Linked DNA regions of Elephas maximus indicus. The protein of the gene in region 2 interacts with the protein of the main gene of each other region in a biochemical or structural test. Links are inferred from orthologs where the notes say so. Each region holds a gene or a part of one and is shown on either strand. Other genes may lie near its edges.

Region 1 (9,632 bases), on a different chromosome or scaffold from region 2:
TGTGTGAACTTCGGCAAGTTAGTCAACATCTCTAAGCCTGTTTTCTCATCCATGAAATGGCTTTATTAAAAGCCTATGCCTCCAGCTGGAACAAAGAGTGAGAATAGTTGTATATCTTGAAGAATGTAAGCAATGTCACTGAATTGTACGTGTAGAAATTATTAAATTGGTATATGTTCTGCTGTGTATATTTTCAACAACAACAAAAAAAATTACTTTTAAAAGATGTGAAGGGAGAGTAAAGACTTCTTTTGATTAAAAAAAAAAAAAAAAAAGCCTGTCCCTTAAGGTTACTAAACCAAAAAACCACTGCCATTGAGTAGACTCATAGCGACCCTATAGGACAGTGTGGAACTGCCCCGTACAGTTTCCAAGGAGCACCTGGGGGATTCAAACTACTGACCTCTTGGTTAGCACCGTGGCACTTAACCACCACACCACCAGGATTTCCGTTCCTGGGGTTACTACGTGGAATAAATGAGATCAGGTCCTAATGTGTTCAGCACAGTGCCTGATATTAAAACAATTAGCTTTTAATGCTGGAGTCCCCACTTCCATGGATCCTGCCATCCTTTCAGGAAAGAACATGAACAGTTAAATAACAAAACAAGATAGTTTATGATTAAAGACCCAGATGCCTGGTACAGGGTGTACCTGCCATGTGAGGTCAGAGAGCGCAGACTTTAACTTTTAATAACAAACAGATGCAAAGTTAGTGCTGAAATCCTAAGCTCTGCTGCTCTGCCAGGTTCTGATTTTTTCACCTCTATAGTTGGAATCCACCAGGCGCTCCTTGGAAACTCTACGGGGCAGTTCTACTCTGTCCTATAGAGTCCCTATGAGTCGGAATCGACTCGACAGCAGTGGGTTTGGTTTTTGGTTTTTTTGACAGGGTGTATTTAGGGTTATCATCGAAGTCTCCATAGCATAATCAGAGCAGACATCACTTCTCTCCCAATGCACTTGACCATCAGAACATTCTAGAGAGGCCATTGCTCACATCCAGTTGGCCCTGGCCTCCCCTTGTCCAGGCTGCCCAGAGTAGAAGGGTCCACCTGGAAAGTATGCTTGGCAGCATGGGCTGGTCCCTGATAACACCCCAAAGACATGCAAAAATGACTTTCAGGTTCAGCTTGGGGTGAATGGTGCTTTCGCTCAGATTGAGGAGAACTGGCTGTTCTGCTCTGCCAGCTCATGTGTTCCACGGGAGATGGATTAAATCATCCAGATTTTCATCCAGACACTGAATGAAAGCTTTCGGGTGACATTTTCATTTAAAACTCACCATTGTAGGTGGGCTGGAGGCCCGGTCTGCGACCTGTGCTGGGACTCCGCCAGTCTCTTAAACCCTGTTCACAGGATTGATCTGTAATCCTCCATGGCAGGGCCTGTTGCTGCCCTTGTTTCTTCAGCATTGAGAAAAATATGTGCACGAACCTGGATTTTTGAATTACAGTTTTTAATTTGTTTCCCTTGGTGATGAACAGGACTAAACAATCAGGTCACGTATCATATTTATTGAGTGCCTGGCTGTGTGACTTGGAGCAGGTTACTTCACTTCTCCAAACCTTAGTTTCTTCACCTATAAAAGGAGAATCATAATAACGCCTACATCGTAAGGTTGTTGAGAGAACTGTCCTATGTTTGGTTCCCCAGGAAGCAAACGCCAAGACAAGGTAGCAAGCAGGTTGCTTATTAGGGAGTGCGGAGGGCAGGAAGCAGGATTGGGCAGAGGGAGGAGTTGAGCTGTGATGTAATCCCAAGGAAAGCCATCAGCCAGCCCTGGAGCTGGGATTGCCTTTCAGAACTATCCTTAGTTGGGACAAAGGGTCGGGGCTTTTTATACCCCTTGGTAGATCAGTCATTCCACCATCAGTTTGTCAGCTTGCCATACTGCTATGGCTTGTGTGCTGCTGTGATGCCGGAAGCTGTGTCACTAGTATTTCAAATACCAGCAGGGTCACCCATGGTGGACAGGTTTCAGTGGCACTTCCAGACTAAGACAAGGAAGAAAGGCCTGGCGATCTACTTCCAAAAATGAGCTAATGGAAACCTTATGGATCACAGCAGAATATCGTTTGATATAATGCTGGAAGATGAGCCCGCCAGGTTGGAAGGCACTACACAATAGCTGCAACAGTGGACTAAAAAATACCAACAGATCATGAGGCTAGTGCAGGACCGGGCTGTTATACACAAGGTCCTGTGAGTTGGAGCTGACTCGACCGCAAGTAACCACAACAACAGATCAGTCATTGGATGCGGGTTGCCCCTGGAAGGAGGTATGACCTTGGAAAAGGCAATTTTCTCCAGCTGAGCCAATTCTCAAAGGGGACTAACAGCTGAGAGAGGTCTTCCTGTATTGTTCTTGGCAGGTAGGGAATAAGACCCTTATTCCTGGAAGGGGATCTGGGCAGCTCATCCCAGCCTCCACCTCAAAGATGAAATGAAACAACTAACATAAAGTCCTTAACACACAGTACCTGGATTACAGTAAGCGCTCAATAAATGGTAGCCATTACAACTGTTAGCGTTGTGCTAGATGCTGGGGATACAGTGGTGATCAAGATTCCGCTCCCGCCTTCCAGAAAACTTGATCCATGAGCACATCAGATGATCCAATAAGCAATTTCCATGTGGTGTAATTGATAGGGTGGCAAAGGATTTATATGGGAGCACTTAGAAGGGACACATGACCTAGACTAGGAAGGCGGAGGTGAGTGATGTTGAAGACGATACCTGAAAATGAAGAGAAGTCAGCCAGGCAAAAGGAATGGGAGGAGCTGGAATGGGTGTGGCTCTATAGATGTAAAGATAAAAAAAAAGATGTATAAAAAAAATGTATAGGTGAATTAAATTAAGACTGACCTCAAGGCATACACTAGGCGTGGTTTTTGAATTATTCACACGTATCAGCTCACTATCCCATTCACTCAACGAGGATTTATGAAGCATCTTTATTCAATATGTCAGACAATGGACTAGGTGCTGATATCGGGATGAATGAAAGCCAACTCCTGTCTCAAGGAGCTCACAGTCCAGCAGAAGACGTCAAGGTAATTAATTCCGAACTGTTCAACAGGCTGTTAAGGCAGAGGGAAGGGCAGCGACCTCAGACTGGTGGTATGGGGCTGTTTTTCTCACAAAAAGTAGAGAAATTCTAAACAGTCAAGATTTTGAGTTAGTTGATTTGATAAGTAATCACTGAGATGGCTCCAGGCAGCAAGCTTAGACAACTCTTCCCAAGTCTCTTTCTGTAAAATTTATATTTATTGAAAGCACCGTGGCTGGGAGGTACTGTGATTCGCTCTTCGAGGAGAGACTGGATGGAGAGCAGAAATCCTCATTTGTAGAAGGGATCTATGGTCATCTGGCTACACCCTTCTGGCCTATGAAAAGTGGCTAAGGCTGACGGGAAAGTCTGAGCACAAGTCAAGTTCACTGCCCAAAACTCAGAGGATTAACACCTGAGTCTTGTTCTTATTGCTAGTTTTTTGTTCATTTGGTTCTAAGGCCTCCACTGAGCTAAATCACCTGCTTCTGGACAAAGACAAAGTCTTTTCTTATCATGAGGAATCTGTAATAAGACAGACATGCTACTCATTATTCAGCATGGCTCAGAGGGGCTTCTTCCAATCAGCTCTCCAAGACTCAGGGCTCTGCTTTAGACAAACCTATTTGAAATCCCTGGAGGACTACAAAGGAGGCCCGATGGTGCAGTGGTTAAGCGTTTGGCTGCTAATGGAAAGGTCAGCAGTTTGAACCCAACAGCCACTCTGTGAGAGAAAGATGTGGCAATCTGCTTCCCCAAAGATTTAAAGCCTTGGAAACCCTACGGGGCAGTTCTACTCTGTCCTACAGGATCCGACTATGAGTTGGAATTCGACTGAATGGCAATGGGTTTGGTGTTTGGTTTGGTGGAGTACAGTCCTCAGAAGCAGCTATGTTATTCCCAGAGGAACCTCCTTCCTCTCTGCTTCTATCAAAAAAAAAAAAAAAAAAAGGCCAGTGAAGAATGCTCTCAGTGCTTAAACTGTAGTTGTAGTGGAAAGTAAATTGAACAAATGAAGAAAATAGAAATACAAATTCACTTTGAGTTTGATTTTCAATGAACATAAACATTTATTGAATATGGGCTCTGGGCGGTGTCCTGTGTTCAGGACATCGGATGCAAGAAAGCATAAGACACTGACAGGTCAACTTGAGGGCCCAGTTTCTTCAACAGTAATTTTCTTTTGGTAAATTAATGCACTGCCATTGGGGTTTATACATCAGTCTCTTGTGTGTTTGGTTACCTGAGTCAGTGTCTGGGGTCTAATCACCTTTCTGTTTTCAGGAAAATGAGTTTTTTTTTTTTTCCCATTCAAAGCCGATAAGTATACTTTTTAAAGTGGGTATCATTCCTTTGGAAATGATTGGCAGGCCTCCTTAGGGGTCATTTGAGGGCAGGAAGAAACAAGAGGTGTTTCTGAGGGCTACAGACCTATTCTCTGAATTTGAGTTGGAAACTGGGCCTAACATTATTCCAAGGCAGCTTCTCAAACTTTCTGGGAAGGCATTGAGTCGACATGCCTAGAGGTCTAAATTGGAACCTCCTTAACATTCTCTCTGTGGGACGCAGACCTCCCAGGGGAGCCAGGGCGTTCTGTTGAAGTTACAAGTGCAACCACCATTGAATCAACCAAACAGAAAATTTTAATTGTACGTTTTGGTCTCTACTTTCCAAATGAAGGTCAAGCTTTAAGATTTCACCTTTCACTCTCCTAGCAAGAACCTCTACCATAAATAACGATCAAAACCCAAAAGAATGTGATCTTTAAAGTTATTCACCGCAATTAAAGTTTCTGTATTTGAGATATGACGTTCGAGGAGAATAAAACCATCGGCTGGAGCAATCTTTTTTCCTTCTTTAGGTTTCAGAAGGCAGGCAGGTGAGTTCCCACTGCGGCTCCATCTTCTGCCCGGCTTTGTTCAGTGTCCAATCAACGTTCCAGACCACCCCCTCCCCAAACAGCCCTCAAGCTCCATGAAAGAAAGTGATTAAAACGTAACTGAGCGACGCCCCTGTTCCCAAATACCGGTGTGTCGGTGGCGGAGGGGGGGCGGAAGGACCGTAACATCTCCAGCTCAAAACGACTTTAAAGGCTAACGATGACTTTGTTTTTATGAAAAGAAGGGGCAGCAGCCGCACGGCGCGCGGACTCCCAGTCCGGGGACACCCACGCGACGCGCAGGGGAAGGAGCGAGTCTGAAACCCGAAACCCGCCCGGGGACCCCAGGCAACGCCCTGGGGGCTCGCACGGCCTGGGTGCGCCCCGCGGCCCTCTCGGGGAGGGGTGGGGGAGGGGAGTCCGGCCTGGCCCCGCCCCGCGCGCCACGATTATAGCCGATGACTCAGGGCGGAGCTCCGCATCCAAGCCAGGCCGCCGCCAACTTCTCTGGATGGGACCAGAAGTTTCTAGCCGGCCAGTTGCTGCCTCCCTTTATCTTCTCCGTCCCCTTTGGCAGCAAGGAGGCTATTTCCAGACACTTCCACCCCTCTCCGGCCACGTCACCCCCTCCTTTAATTCATAAAGGTGCCCGGCGCCGGCCTCCCGGACACGTCGGCGGCGCAGGACTCAGGCTCCGGCGGCGGAGAGGTCCCCGCGGCGGCGGCCCAGCATTTCGGCGCCTGGAGGCCCGGCACCGCGCGAGCCCGCACCCCGCGACCCGGCACCCAGTTCTCTGGCACCCCGTGACCCGGCACCGCGCACTCCGGCACCCCGTGACCCGGCACCCCAGCACCCCGAGACCCCGCTCTCCGGCACCCCGGCGGCCGCCCTCCGGGCCGACCCCGACAAGCATGAGCGCAGCCACCCACTCGCCCATGGTGCAGATGGCGTCCGGCAACGGCGCCGGCGACCGCGACCCCCTGCCCCCGGGCTGGGAGATCAAGATCGACCCGCAGACCGGCTGGCCCTTCTTCGTGGACCACAACAGCCGCACCACGACGTGGAACGACCCGCGCGTGCCCCCCGAGGGTCCCAAGGTGAGCTGGGCCCGCGTCCCCTCCCTGGCCGGCGGCCCCACCTCGATGACAGGCGGGGCCGCAGCGCCGGGGCTGAGCCTCTGCCTGTGCCCAGGCCGGGAGGTCGGTGGAGGCCACCTCGGCGGACGCACAGCCCTCGGGGTGACAGCCCTCCCTGTCCTCCCCGGGGTCGCCCGGCCCCTCGAGCTCGTCCTGCCGCGCTTAGGGAGGCCCCTCCGGATACGCCCTTGACAGGCGTCGGGGCGAGGGCGAGGCCCCGGAGGCGACAGTCCCCACCGCGCCGCATTTAGTTTTGGGGGACGGGGGTGGCCCGGGCCCGTCCACTGGGTCGAGTCGCGAGGCGGGGCGGGGGGAGGGGGGAGCTGGCCTGGGGCCTGGTGCACCGAGGCCCCGTCCGTCAGGCCCCGCCGCAGGCGCCTCTGCCCGCCCGGCTTCTGTCCCCAGATCCTCAGCCGGGGGACCGAGGGGCCGCTCGCACACTCGGGCGGTGGTCTTGAGGACTTTGCTTCTTTAAGGCCCACAATTTGGCTGAGGGGGTCTCCTGACTTTACTCTCTCGTCTCGGGGACAGAGTGACTCAGGAGGCTGGTGTAAATACACAAGTTTTTTTTTTCTGTTTTTGAAATTGAAATTGTTTTATCGTGTGGAGTTGTTTTCAATAAGAATGTGTTCTAGTTTGACTTCTTAAAAACAGTATACTCTTAAGGCAGTTTCTACCCAAAGCCCTGAGAATGTCGCTCCTAGTTGTCCCTCGCCTTAAAACATTGCCTCACGCTGGAGAGACAGCCAATGATTTTTTTTTTTTAACGGCATACATTCCCTTACTTGTTATGCTATTAAAATGTTTAGGATTTGTTTCCAATACACAAATATAACTAAATAGTAATAATTTGGTAAGGAGCCCTGGTGGCGCAGTGGTTTAAGCGCTCAGCTGCCAACGGAAAAGTCTGCAGTTCCAACCCAGCAGCGGATCCAGTGGAGAAAGAGGGGCAGTCTGCTTCCGTAAATATTTACAGCCTTGGAAACCCTATGATGCTGTTCTACTCTGTCCTGTAGGGTCGCTATGAATCAGAATCAACTCCAGGGCAGTGGCTTAATACTCTGTGAATACCACAATATTCCTTGTTTACATACATGCAAGGATTTATACTTCTCAACCCTTAAGAGCATGAAAATTTGAAAATATAAATTTGGAATGAGTCTGTTAATTTAAAAAAATTGTAATTAAATGTGCCACTCTTGTAATTTTCTATAAATTTGAAATTTTTCAGAATAAGTTTTTGAAAAATAAATATACTTAGACAAAGGGTAATTGTTAATACTGTCTGTGCAGTGAAAAACTGGTAAATTATTTTGAAGATTTTAAAAACTCACATAAAGTTCAAAATGCTTTATAAATCAGTATTTCAGACGAAAGACCTGAATGTCCCACCTTCAGTTTTGGGCACTTTTTTGCCCACAGATACTGATAAAACTGTTGTGCCCAACAGCGAGACGTACATTCAGCAATTTACGTTTACAAGGAATTAGTTGTATATTTATTTCTGAAAATTACTCCACAAGGCTGTAATTAGCTGGAGTGGACGTAATTGTGTATACCTTTTGGTGTGCCTGTTCAGCCCCATTAATGGGTGAAATTTATGTCGCTGTCAAGCCAGTTCCTGTGACTGCAGTCAGCATGGCTGCAGAAGACCTTTAGTATGCTATAAAGCTATTATTTTGAGGCCTACTTCCTATAGAGGCCGACTCTGCCGGCAGCCTTTGTCCTGAGTGAAGATCAAGTTGGAACACACACTGTGAGTGCAGTCAGTATAAGACCCAAATTGCCAGCGCTTTGTTTTCAACATGGAACTCACCTGGCTAGTTGGGATTGCCTGCTTGCTTTGCTTCATGGACCCGCCCCTAGGGTGGATGGATTATGACTGTGGTTTCATAAAGCTTTTTAAGGGGGGGACAAGTTGAATTACTATTTCCAAAAAAATAGAAAATAAAAGCTACTGAGTCAGAAGTCTGACAATGGAAACAGAATTTTAAAGTTGAAAGGCCCTTAAAGATCGTATAGTTCAGCCTCTTTATTTTCCTGGTAAAGAAACCCAGAGAGTTACGGTAGGCTTCTCAAGGTCACTCAGCTAGTGCTAATAGCAAAGAGAGAACTATACCAAAAAGCCTCCAGTTTCTAAGAACAAAAAAATGGTTCACAGCCCTAATGAGAGAGAAGGTAGAAGTGTCTTGAATCTTTATGAAGCTGTGAAGCATGAAAGTTAAAAACTTGATTATCTTTGTGTCGTGCCATCCACCGAGTACAGGATTACCAACCTCTGTACCCTGGTTGCTCGGGATGGTGGTGACTGGATGTGATTAACTCAAGAAAAGCACCGTTTATCAAATGCGCTGCTTGAGATTTGGCAGCAGCATGGCACCAACCCTAAGGACAAAACGAATGTGCAGTCCACGAGCCGTTTGGGCTTCCTTGCTTTCAGAAAGCCTGTGCTTTTGATATACCAGAATATCTGGGTGACTAACTCAGTTTCAGGAGTCCCGGAGGCCTGCAATGGTTAAAGCACTCAGCTGTTAACAAAAAGAATGGCGCTTTGAGTCTACCCAGAAGTGCCTTGAAAGAAAGGTGTGGCGAGCTACTTCCAAAAACTCAGCCACTGAAAACCCTAGGGAGCAGAGTTCTAAGCTGACCCACGTGGAGTCACCATGAGTCGGAATCAACTCAACAGCAACTGTTTTTTTTTTTTTTTTTTTTAATTCAGTTTCACTTACATGAATTTCACTTTACTCCAGGTGAAATACAATGGGAAATTTTTCAGTATTATTTTATGTTAGAAATTGGTTTCTTAATGCACAGTGAGAAAGGATTCTGGCATAAAGCAAAGCGCAGATTTGGGGGGAGCAGAGTCCGCCCCCACCCCCAGCACCCTCACCTTGAAGAGGAAATGTGCTGAGCATCTGCGGTTTGCAAAGCACTGCATCTGGGGGGACTCTACTTCAGGATGTTTATGGTCTAACCGCGTTGGTAAAGAGATGGCTTTTGTGGGAAGGAGAAAAGGACTGCAGCTTCGTGTTTTATTTGCGACCTTTTATACTATGTCGTCTCACAGTTGACCCTCCTATATTCCCCTGAAACTGATAGAGCAACTCTTGTCCTCATTTTTACAGAGGAGGTGAGCGAAAGCAAGAGTCTTACCCTTCATTGCAGAACCAGGAGGGCTGCAGGCAAAGACTGTGGGCCTTATTTACCCAGTTCCATTCTAAGCTCCAGAAACCCTCGTGGTGGTGCAGTGGTTAAGAGCTACCATTGCTAACCAAAAGGTTGGCAGCTCAACTCCACCAGGCCCTCTTTGGAAACCCTATGGGGCAGTTCTACTCTGTCCTATAGGGTTGCTATAGGTCAGAATCGACTCGACAGCAACGGGTTTGGATTTTTTTTACTCTAAACTCCTGAACCTCCTCCCTGCAGTTTTCCTGGGTTTCAGTTTTCTACGCACTTGGGCTTCCCACTAGTCTCCTGGCAAGTTTGTACCAGTACCAGTCCAGACCCCTGTGTGGCGGAGAGGTTGGCCTTGGCTTTGGAGTCAGGAGATGCACAGTTCTGGAGC
Region 2 (10,042 bases):
TTCTCCAAGGGAGGAAGATGTGGCATCTGCTTCCATAAAGTATACAGCCTTGGACACCCCATGGGACAGCTCTACTCTGTCCTATACAGTCGCTGTGAGTCAGAATCAACTCGACGGCAACGGGTTTGAGTTTTTTGGGGTAATCTTTACGGAAGAAGACTGTCACATCTTTCTCCCTAGGAGCCACTGGGGAGTTCAAACCCCCAACCTTTCAGTTAGCAGCTGAGCGCTTAATCACTGCACTACCAGGGCTCCTTTATTACCACATAATGGTTTTAAATTAAAAAAAAAAGTAAAAATCTTAAAAAAATATTTTTGGCTAACCTTCACCCAGCACATTTGTTCCTCTTTTCATTTTCAGTTTCCTTTTGAAAATCACTTTACCGATGGAGGATTTTGCCACTGGAGCAGTTTTTAAACTGTAATTTGTATTTTGGCTTACATTCAAAGGCAGACGTTTTAAGATGAGGTAACACAAGTTTTGCTCAGTCTTTGCCCTCAAGCTGATCTTTGTTTCCTTCTGCTGCTTCTTTCGGGTTCAGACCTAAGCAATAAATCCTGGTGGCAAATAATACTTTTTCTTTTTGTTACAGTATATACATCTTAAAGAGGGCTTCAGGCGCTTTTCAGAAATCATAATTGTTTTAATGGTTTTTTTTTTTTTTAAACCTCACCAATTTCCTTTTGCTAATTCCTTATACTTGCATTATTGAATAAACCTAAATACTTGGTGAAAAAGAAAAAAAGGAACCTATGATTCATTCTACAAATAGTTAGTAACCCTTCTCTGTGAGGAGTCGACTTCATGAGTTCTCGAAACTTACAGTTAATGTAAAGGGAAGACAGTGAAATAAAACCCAGTTGCTGTGGATTTGACCCTGACTCATGGCGACCCCAGGTGTGTCAGAGTGGAACTGTGCTCACAGGGTTCTCAATGGCTGATTTTTCACAAGGGGATGGCCAGGCCTTTCTTCTGAGGCACCTCTGGGTGGACTCAAACTGCAAACCTTTAGGTTGGTAGCTGAGCGCTTACTATTTGGGCGACTCAGGGACTTTACCAAAGAGTGGGAAGACACTGGCAAATGAAGTATATTCGAAATGTTCCTGTAGTCTAGCTTCTTTTTGAATTGATAGTAGTAGGCTGGTCAAGAAGGCTGGTCTATGGTTCTAGGATCCCTTTACCAATATTGGTCTGCCTGCAAAATGTATCTGACAGGTTTGTGAATATCAAAATAACCATGGATCTGCAGGCTGGAGGAGCATATAGCTCTCGATCCCAAATGAGCACCCAAGGATTTGACAACAGAGGCACTTCTTGAGTCCCAAACCACCAGTTAGTGAAGGCTGGTGTCATTCATCATTTCCACCACCCATCTGTCAGTTTGTCTGTGGTGACCTGCATGTTGTTATGACGCTAGAAGCAATGCCACCAGTATTTCAAATACCAGCATGGCCACTCATCGTAGACACATTTCAGCAGTACTTCCAGACTAAGACCGACTAGGAAGAAAGGCCTGGATATCTATTTCTAAAAATTAGCCAATGAAGTTGCTGGAAGGTGAGCTCCCTAGGTTCAAAGAGACTCAAAATACACATTGGCTGCAACCACGGACTCAATACCAACGATCACGAAGATGGTGTAGGGCAGGGCCACGTTTCGTTCTGTTGTACATGGGGTTGCCGTGAATCGGAGCTGTCTCTGGGGCAACGAATAACAACAACAACATTAACCATCTGGTCACTCCCCAGTATGCACTGGGCATCTCCTACGCCAAGAACAGTCCTGGGAGCTGGGGACACGGTGGTTTGCAAGACAGACATGGTCTCTGACCTCAGGAGCCCGCTAATTAAAGAAGAAATTGAAGAGATAAAGAAGGTATACGCAGATAGTGGTGGGCATAAGAACACAGAGATGGGATGGAAGAGAGACTGAGGAGGGGTGTAGAGGGTGGCCGGGGAAGGCCTTCTAAGGCCTCCTGAGGTGTCAGCCACGTGAAGTCAGGGAACAGCAATGTCCATGCCTCATGCTGGCAAACAAGCGCCACCAGGGTGGACGGGGCGGCAGAGGTTGGGGGGATAACATCGATGGCAGTGGCCGGAGCACACAGTGGGGGAGCGGTGAGAGGAAGGAGTTCCTCTGGATTTTATACCAATCACAAGAAGAAGGCGCTACAGGGTTCCATGCACATAGTGACATGATCAGATGTAGCTATCACGGAAATCACTCAAGAATCTTACAAGAGATCCTGACACCTTGGACTAGAGTGGAGGGTGTGTGAGAAAGAAGCGGATAGACCCAGGACACACTTTGGAGGTAGACCCAGCAGGACTTGCTAACGGGAAGAATCCCGGGGACAAGGGAATGGGATGTTCCCAGGGTTAATTCCTAGGCTTCCCTCTGAGCAACTGAGCTATGGGGCCTTCCCCAGGAGATGGAAAGGTTTGGCTCATCCCAAGACCTGTTTTAGGGACATATTAAGTGTGGGGTTTGTATGTTATCAACTCAGTAATTTTTTTTTTTGTTCTAGGACATAAGCAAAGATAATGAAAATAATATAATGAAGACTTTAACTTTAACATTTCCCAAAATCATGCATATTCTAGTTGTCTCTTTAGGATCCTCATACTTTGATACCAACAAGAGTCCTCGTGGCACAATAGTTAAGTGCTTGGCTGCTAACCTGCTAACCGAGACATTAGCAGTTCGAACACACCCATATGCTCCAGGAAAAAAAGGACCTGGTCGTCTGTGTTCATAAAGATTACAGCCTAGAAAATCCTATGGGCAGTTCTACTTTGTCACATGGGTTGCTAGGAGTTGAAATCAACTACATGACATCTACTGACAGCATTAACTTTGATACCATGTGAGTGGGAAACTCTAAAAATCGTCTAATCGTTTGGTGAGGGGCTGGCTAAGAACGTAGCTCCACGCTCCTGATTTCTCCACCTCTCAGACCCCTGCAGACGCCACACTTTGAAAGTTTGTGGGAGAAAACCTTGGTGTGGGCCTCACTAGGCTAAGGGGTAGGTTTGGCTGACCACCTATCTTTCATCTTCTCCATCATCATCTCTCTCCAACCCCCAGCACCCTCCCTAACACCTGCACCCCCGGGTCACACTCACCTCGCCGACCCCAGCACGCTTGGGGAGGTTGCCCAAGCCCACAGAGAAAGCGGATTTAATCGGTATCTGGCCAGAGACGCAACCCTTGGGCAAGAAGAATGCCCCCGACTTTGTGGTGGGTGAAGGCGCGCTGAGCCAACCCGCATCACTGAGGCCGCGGCTAGGAAGAGAGAGTCCTGGGACAGCCCCTTCCCTGCGCACACGCCCTCACAAGCACACGCGCGCGCACACACAAATTCCCCGCTCCAAGCTGTAGAAGGTTTCCTTCAAAGGCAGAGGAAACGTGGATACACCCTGGCGCAATTTCCTACTTTTGTTTCTTGCCGCTGCTCCGTCCGCCCTGGTGCTGTCCGGTGCAGGGCTTCGCACACTCCCACCCCGAGGGCTGGCTTGGGTCCGCGCGCACTGGAGGCCGCGGGGCCGAGAGATGGGGGTTCGCCCGCGCCTCCGTGTCCCGCTCCTCGACCACGATGCCGCCTGGGTCGCAGGGCCGGGCTGCGGGGCCAGGGGCACAGAAGCAGGCAGAGGCCCGAGCACGGGCCAGGGCGAGTGGGAGCCGGCTCTCGGGTCCCCGCCGGGCTGCAGGAGGCGGCTAGGTCCCTGGGCGGGCGGCGGCGCGGGCCCGGGCAGTGCTTACCTGCGGCGGCAGCGGCCGGCGGAAAGGAGGGACGCGGTCGTTCCGGACGCGGGGCTGGGGCGCCCGGGGCAGCCAGGAGGAGACTAGGGGGCCTGGGCCTGGAGGTCCGACCGTCTCCAGCCCCCGCGCCTCGGCCGCGCCGGGACCAGACGCACTTCCTCAATCCTGCGGAGGGCGCTGGGGCGGGCGGCGGGAGGGCGGGCCGGCGGGCGGGCGTCGGCGGCGCAAAAGGCGCGCAGGGAGAGGCTGCCGCGCGCCCAGGGTCTGGGCGCTGCTGGCTCTCACGGTGTGGGGACGAGGCGCCCCGGGGTGCCCCGCCTCAGTTTCCCTAGTCGTTAAACCTAGGTGGCCAAATTTCTTACTCCCTGCCCCGGGAAGGTGACAGGCTCCGGGGAGCCTTCTAGGGTGGAGTCCTCCTCCGAGTCCGCTGGTGCACGCGGGAAGGCGAAGAGAAAATTAGTTCTCGGCTTCACCCAGCTTGCCCTGTCCCTCTACTCTGCTCTGCACCCAAATCGGCGAATTAACTCTAACTTGCGTGTTGGCCATATTCTCTGGCAGTAAATATGAAAAATACGGAAATTCCCTTGTGTACATCCCTTCTACAGGGCAAAGATGAGTATTTTGTAAGCTTTAATATTTTGCAAACTGCTCCTCTCCTACATGAATTTAACTGATTTAATTACGGATGTATGCAAACACACAACTATTTGATGGATCGTTTTTAATGGCTTATTTTGTTTGTAGGTAAAACGTGGTGGAATAACGACAACTTTCTTTCACCCTAACGTAAGGATGTCCGTCACACCATTGAGGCTCATACGCCAACGCAGGCTTCAGATCAGGCTCTGCGTGTTCACTGAGGGCAGAGAAGCCCGCTCAGAAAAACCTATCAATGGACGCCCTGTAAGGGCCAGCCCCATAGGCTCCTCTCATGTAATGTAATGATGGGAACATTCCCAGGATTTAGCGCAAAGCGCAACGATAAACGGCTACGACCCTCGCTGCCATTTCACAGAAACCGGAGCAGCCATAGGGCCCTGGCTCGACGTGACGGACACCCCGCGTAGTGGTCCCTTATAGCGGCTGGTGGGGGCCCCTGGTTGGCGAGGGAACCACTGGTCAGCTTTGCTCTGCTCTCCGGAGACTGCCTTCAGAACTGACGGCCACGCGGCGCCTTTTCAGTTTTGCAATTCTATCCCCACCACTGGGGTCTTAGTATCATATGCTAGGTCATCAGTATGACTGCCACCGAAAAGTCCCTAATAATTTGCAGGACTTGGCGTGCGCTGTGCTGAGTGAGCCCGGCGTAGGCGGGGAGGCGCCTCCCCGGCGAGGCCCCGCCACCTAGCGACGCAGTGATGAAGCGCACGATCCTAGCTGGTGACCCTGGAGCGGACTGGACCAACACCCCCCCCCAAAAAAAAAACCAGGGGAGGATTATTTCACATTTTTTCACCACATCAAAGTTTCTGCTTCCAGGTATGGCTGGCATCTGTCCCTCTTTCAACACCATAGCACCTTCCCACAGAATCAAAACCTCTTTTCAAATTTACAGTCCCTGACAGGGTCGGATGACCCAGTAAGCAAGGTAAGCACCAGTTTACTTGTGTTTACTTACTAATCTGTAGTGAACAATCAAAGATATGGTGAAACCCATGAGAAATTGTTCACTACAGATGGTCTGGTAAGAAAGATAAATACTGTGCTTACCTTGCCTATTAGGTAATCCACCCTGCCAACACCTGCAGGGTCCACTCAACTTCCCTGTTAAATGAGCTTGGAGACAGGCTAAAAAATGGTCCCAACATGAAAAGCAGCTGACATTTGACACTCAGATATCCTATTTTGAGCTAGTTATATCCTGGCATTCAACTCAACTCTATGCATTAGGCATGAGTCATAGGTTCCCATAGAAGGCTATTACAGGTCAGTTAAGATTCCTTTTGGCTTCTTCTTGGATCCCACTGGCCCATGTCCTCTAGCTTGTACTCAGCATCCTACCCAGATTTTCAGCACCTCAGAATGGAATGGCCCGCCTAAGGTGGGTCAGCCGGAAGCTGCCTCCAGAAACTTCGGTTTCTGCCTTCTGAAGGCACAGTGGCAGGCTGTTCCCTCCATGTCTTCTAGCTATGTTTCTTCAGTGTGGTACTCAGTTTCCTCAGATGTTTCTCCATGGATGCTTTTAAAAAAATGTCCCTCACTGTCCCGGTCACCTTCAAACTCAAGTTAGCCATATGGGTAAGAGCAAGGACATTCAAAAGGCTTCAGATACCATCAGGAGGAGCAAGGGTACACCAAAGGGGCCACTGTTAGAGAACGTGCCTCCCCCTCACTCATCCCACAGGCACACAAGTGCACACACATGCACCATGGCCCACCTATTGTCCCCAGGATGGTTCTCTTCAGGGAGCAATACACTGGTAAACCAAAATGAAATAAAATGTCATTTTACCATAATTTTCTGCTCACACCTGGATTGAGAAGCGGGATATTTCTAAATGCATATGTATTTTAAGAGGGATCAGATTCGTTTTCTCTTAAAGGAGCTGTGCTTTGTCAACACACGGCAAGAGTGATTTAGATTTTCAACATTATGTGTACAGGCTGAGCTCAGGGGACCTAACCAAGTACAAGGAGTGTTCTTGATCCAACTTCAGTGACAGCTCATGACTTGGTGATTGAGGCTTCTTGGTTAGAAGTCTTAGAAACGTTAGGTAAATTAAACACAAGCACCTAGATCCTTGTGAAGAAAGTGATAAAAACAGACACTTAGACACACAACTGGGGACATGGTATTTTCACTAAATTTCTCTTGTGATCTTCCCCACCACTTTCCACACTCATGGCAAATGTCCTCATCACTTTATACTAAAAAGAGACTCGGGCAGCTCAGGTGACCAGTCTAAAGTTAGCCAATTAAGACAGAGAGACAGTGAAGCCAGGCTCCCTGCCTGGTTGACTCCAAAACCGATAGGAATGGGTTTCACGCTCAGGCAAAGCACTAGGCCTGATCGATTGAGCAAGGGGACTTGTAGCCTCAGTTACTGACCCTGCTTTGTTACAAGACATTTTGTACAGAAGACCCAGGAAAGAGGGGTCAGCCACAGAATTAAAAGGGATTGAGTTCTCAAATGAAAACAGAACAAAACACAACATAATGTTTCTCAAATACCTAAGTTTATTTTATCATTGTTGCATTGTTGAGCTCAATCTGTAGGTAGGAGCCGAATTTCCAGGCTGATACATTTTTAAACCATACCACAGTGGTAAACCTTTAAAAAAGTGAAATCAAACAGGATATAGATTTCCATTTCTAAATACAGTATATTACAGAAGGTTAAATATACCACCTCTGTGTACTTACAGCTATAAAAAGATATAATTAACTATACCAAAACCCATTGGTGTCAAGTCGATTGCAACTCATAGCGACCCTATACCAATCGTAATTAATGTAGAGTTTCATATTAAAGGCATTATTGTACAATGGAAGAAAAAGAACCTCCAAGGCATTACTATCGAGGTTAGTGTCTATAGTTAGTTGAGATAAAATCCTGACGATTCAGTGTAAGAAGTCTAATCCTGACCTAACAAGTGAATTGTTAATGTAAGTGTTAACTGATGGAGAGAAGGTGAAGTACACATTGCATATTGCTCACGAGGATGATAACCCCATTTCCTGCGTGATTTTCTTTATACACACAGGTTGTGACATGGAGCTTCATCTTATCACTGTGCTCACGCCAATGAATTGTCAAGCACAAGCACCATTTTTCCCATTAGAAAATGACTAGTTAGTAACAGTAACAGTGTCCGAATAACACAATTTAAGTTTGGTTTTGTTTTTTTAAAGCTCTATGGAAACACCTTCCGTTTTCCAAGTCAAAGTTGATGGGATTGCACACCCTTTGGATACACAAAGAGGAAAAGAAAACTTCACAACCTGTTATAAAGTACTCAGACCACTTGGATTTAGTAGGAGACCCAGGTCCTCCAGGGAGCCCATGTCTTATCTGTTAATTACTCAGAAATTAACATCAAAATAGGACTTTGAAAAAGCAGGTCTATATTATGACAGTCGTCTTTCCAGTTCCGTATGTTTTCCTAATCTAAACCGGGTAACAGAACTGGAAAAAGGATAAGTATGTAGGCTTATCATAAACCATTAAGGAGTGTAGTAGAAAGGCAGAATTCCTAAAATGAATTATTGCTTTGGTGTGTTTGTAAAATGTGGAACTTAATTACCGGGGGATTCGCTGTGCTGTTGGAGGGTCAGAGCGTTGGCTCCTTAGCAGCAAAGGCGATAGAACTTTTTTTTTTTTTTGCCTAAGAAAGTGCCTTGGTTAAGATAGACAATGACACATTTTTAGAATATGCTCTTTGGGCTACGATTTGGTCAGATTCCAAAGGCAGTATTGTTTTTATAAGCTGAGTGCCGTGGTCACTAAATATGCAGACCTCAAAGACCCTCACCCACACATGCCCACAACCCCCAAATCTCCGCCCATCAGATCCTTGCAGCCTTTTTTTTTTTTTTAACTTAGTGTTAATGCTTTTCCCACTGCATGGTACCGTCAGCCCTCCCCCAGAAAGAGAGGCTTGTTCTGTGGACAGGTGAACCTGAGGAGACCGTAGGTGCAGGGCTCTGCTGGCGGAACATGCAGGGAGTTTTTCCAAATTCTTACTAGAGTCAGATTCAGCAACACATTTTTCAGGAGCTGCTGGCCACTGCAAGTACCACTTCCTGTTAACAGTGCCCTGAGCATCTTCACTGTCCGCTGGTACCCAGTTTAAAGGGCAAAACAGAAATGGCCAATAGCGCCATCCCCAGGCAGGAACGCAATTTTGCACAACATACGGGCATCCACAGCTTGATCAATAAAACTTAGCGTGGGAGGAGAAGAGGCATTCAAATCCAGCAGATTGAAAGCTTCCAGAAGAAAGTGTCACAAAAAGGTCAGAAATGTCATTTTTTTCTTCGGCAAGTGTAATCCGCCACATTCAGTTGTCAAATGTTGGAGGAAGGACCCTGCCTTCCCTTCAGTGGTTCTTGTCGTCCAGTTTGATGGTGACGGTTTTCACTTCTGTATATTCGCTCAGAGCATATTCACCTCTGTGATCACGGAAAAGAGAAAGATTCAAAAGGAGAGCCTTCCTTAGCCTTTCCATGGAAACTGTTCTAATGCATTATTGTGGCTCTGTCGGGAGTTTATACAAAAGGCCAAATTTATGCATAAATTTGGAATTTATGCAAAAGGCCAAAATGTGATTTCTTGATAGAATAAGTCAGTTAGAGTAACACCAATAGTCAGTTTGAGTGATTGAATATGTAACTTTAAGTTTAAATATCAAGGTTTTTGTGTATGATGCTTTCAAATATTCAGAAGGAATAAGGGTTTCCCTTTGAAGAATGAAGGCAATTAAAAACAGAGAGAGGTACATTCCCAGGGTAGGAGGAGCAGAGCAGAGGAGGAGAGGGCCTGCATGGGGGAACAAAAGGAAGCTGGGAATGGAAATTACACTGGGTTCATAATTTTTGGATGGCAGTTTGGAGCCACTGGGAGAGCTAGAAGAGGCAGCGACCCAAGGCTATTGACCACGGATGTGGCTAGAGGACTCAAGAGCAGCAAAGACATGGGGCCTGAAGTTGGCCTTGGAGCCCACAGCTGGGAACCAGCTGTGAGAAGACGGAGGCCGGACGGGGGCAGTGAGGGGAGAGGTCACCACAGACCAGACACAAGGGAGACAGTGTGTCTAGCATATCTAGGGTATTGCACTGGCCCTGGGCGTGGGGCACCACTGAGCAGTTTCTGTTAACCCAATACAGCCCAGTGTCCTTCCTCACGCCTGGTAATGTGTTAATTAACTTGAGCTGATATTATGGTGAAGTTATCTAAAAGAGAGGGGTCAGATGTTTGGATGGGGCACAATTTCAGTGTGGGCCATAGGCGCCATTTTCCATAGATCCACTGCTGGCCGTACCAGGTTAGTAGAAACTTCTCAGTGGTGCCACACAGCCAGGGCCGGTGCAATACCTGCCACACCTGTCATACCCTAGTTACGCCTCTGTTATGCATCCTGGTACATCTCCTCTCTCTTAGTCTCAGAGCCCTGGTGACCCTACTTGGGCATCATGGGCCATCTCAGGGCAGTTTTCAGTTCCAGAACTGAGAGGCGGCTTTGGATAGATTAAATTCCTCAACAGCATTTGCTCTGATGTTAAGTCAATAAAAATGTATAAATGTATACTTGCTGAGGAAAAGAAGTGGAGTGAAGTGG

The links.
Region 1: the proteins of LRRK1 (region 2) and BAG3 form a complex in vitro, tested with the Homo sapiens proteins (2 studies listed by BioGRID and IntAct, with this or other methods). The link is inferred for Elephas maximus indicus from reciprocal best matches to the Homo sapiens genes LRRK1 and BAG3.

The regions. Positions count from the first base shown.
Region 1 is NC_064834.1:70,241,421-70,251,052, forward strand, and holds the start of BAG3 (BAG family molecular chaperone regulator 3), read left to right. Parts: upstream 1-5,400; 5' UTR 5,401-5,842; coding exon 5,843-6,028; intron 6,029-9,632. UniProt on the Homo sapiens protein: Co-chaperone and adapter protein that connects different classes of molecular chaperones including heat shock proteins 70 (HSP70s), e.g. HSPA1A/HSP70 or HSPA8/HSC70, and small heat shock proteins (sHSPs), e.g. HSPB8.
Region 2 is NC_064831.1:92,682,523-92,692,564, reverse strand, and holds the start of LRRK1 (leucine-rich repeat serine/threonine-protein kinase 1), read right to left. Parts: upstream 3,854-10,042; 5' UTR 3,764-3,853; intron 3,417-3,763; exon of another isoform or gene 3,127-3,416; intron 1-3,126. Other genes in the region: ALDH1A3 (aldehyde dehydrogenase family 1 member A3), read right to left, coding at 8,804-8,876.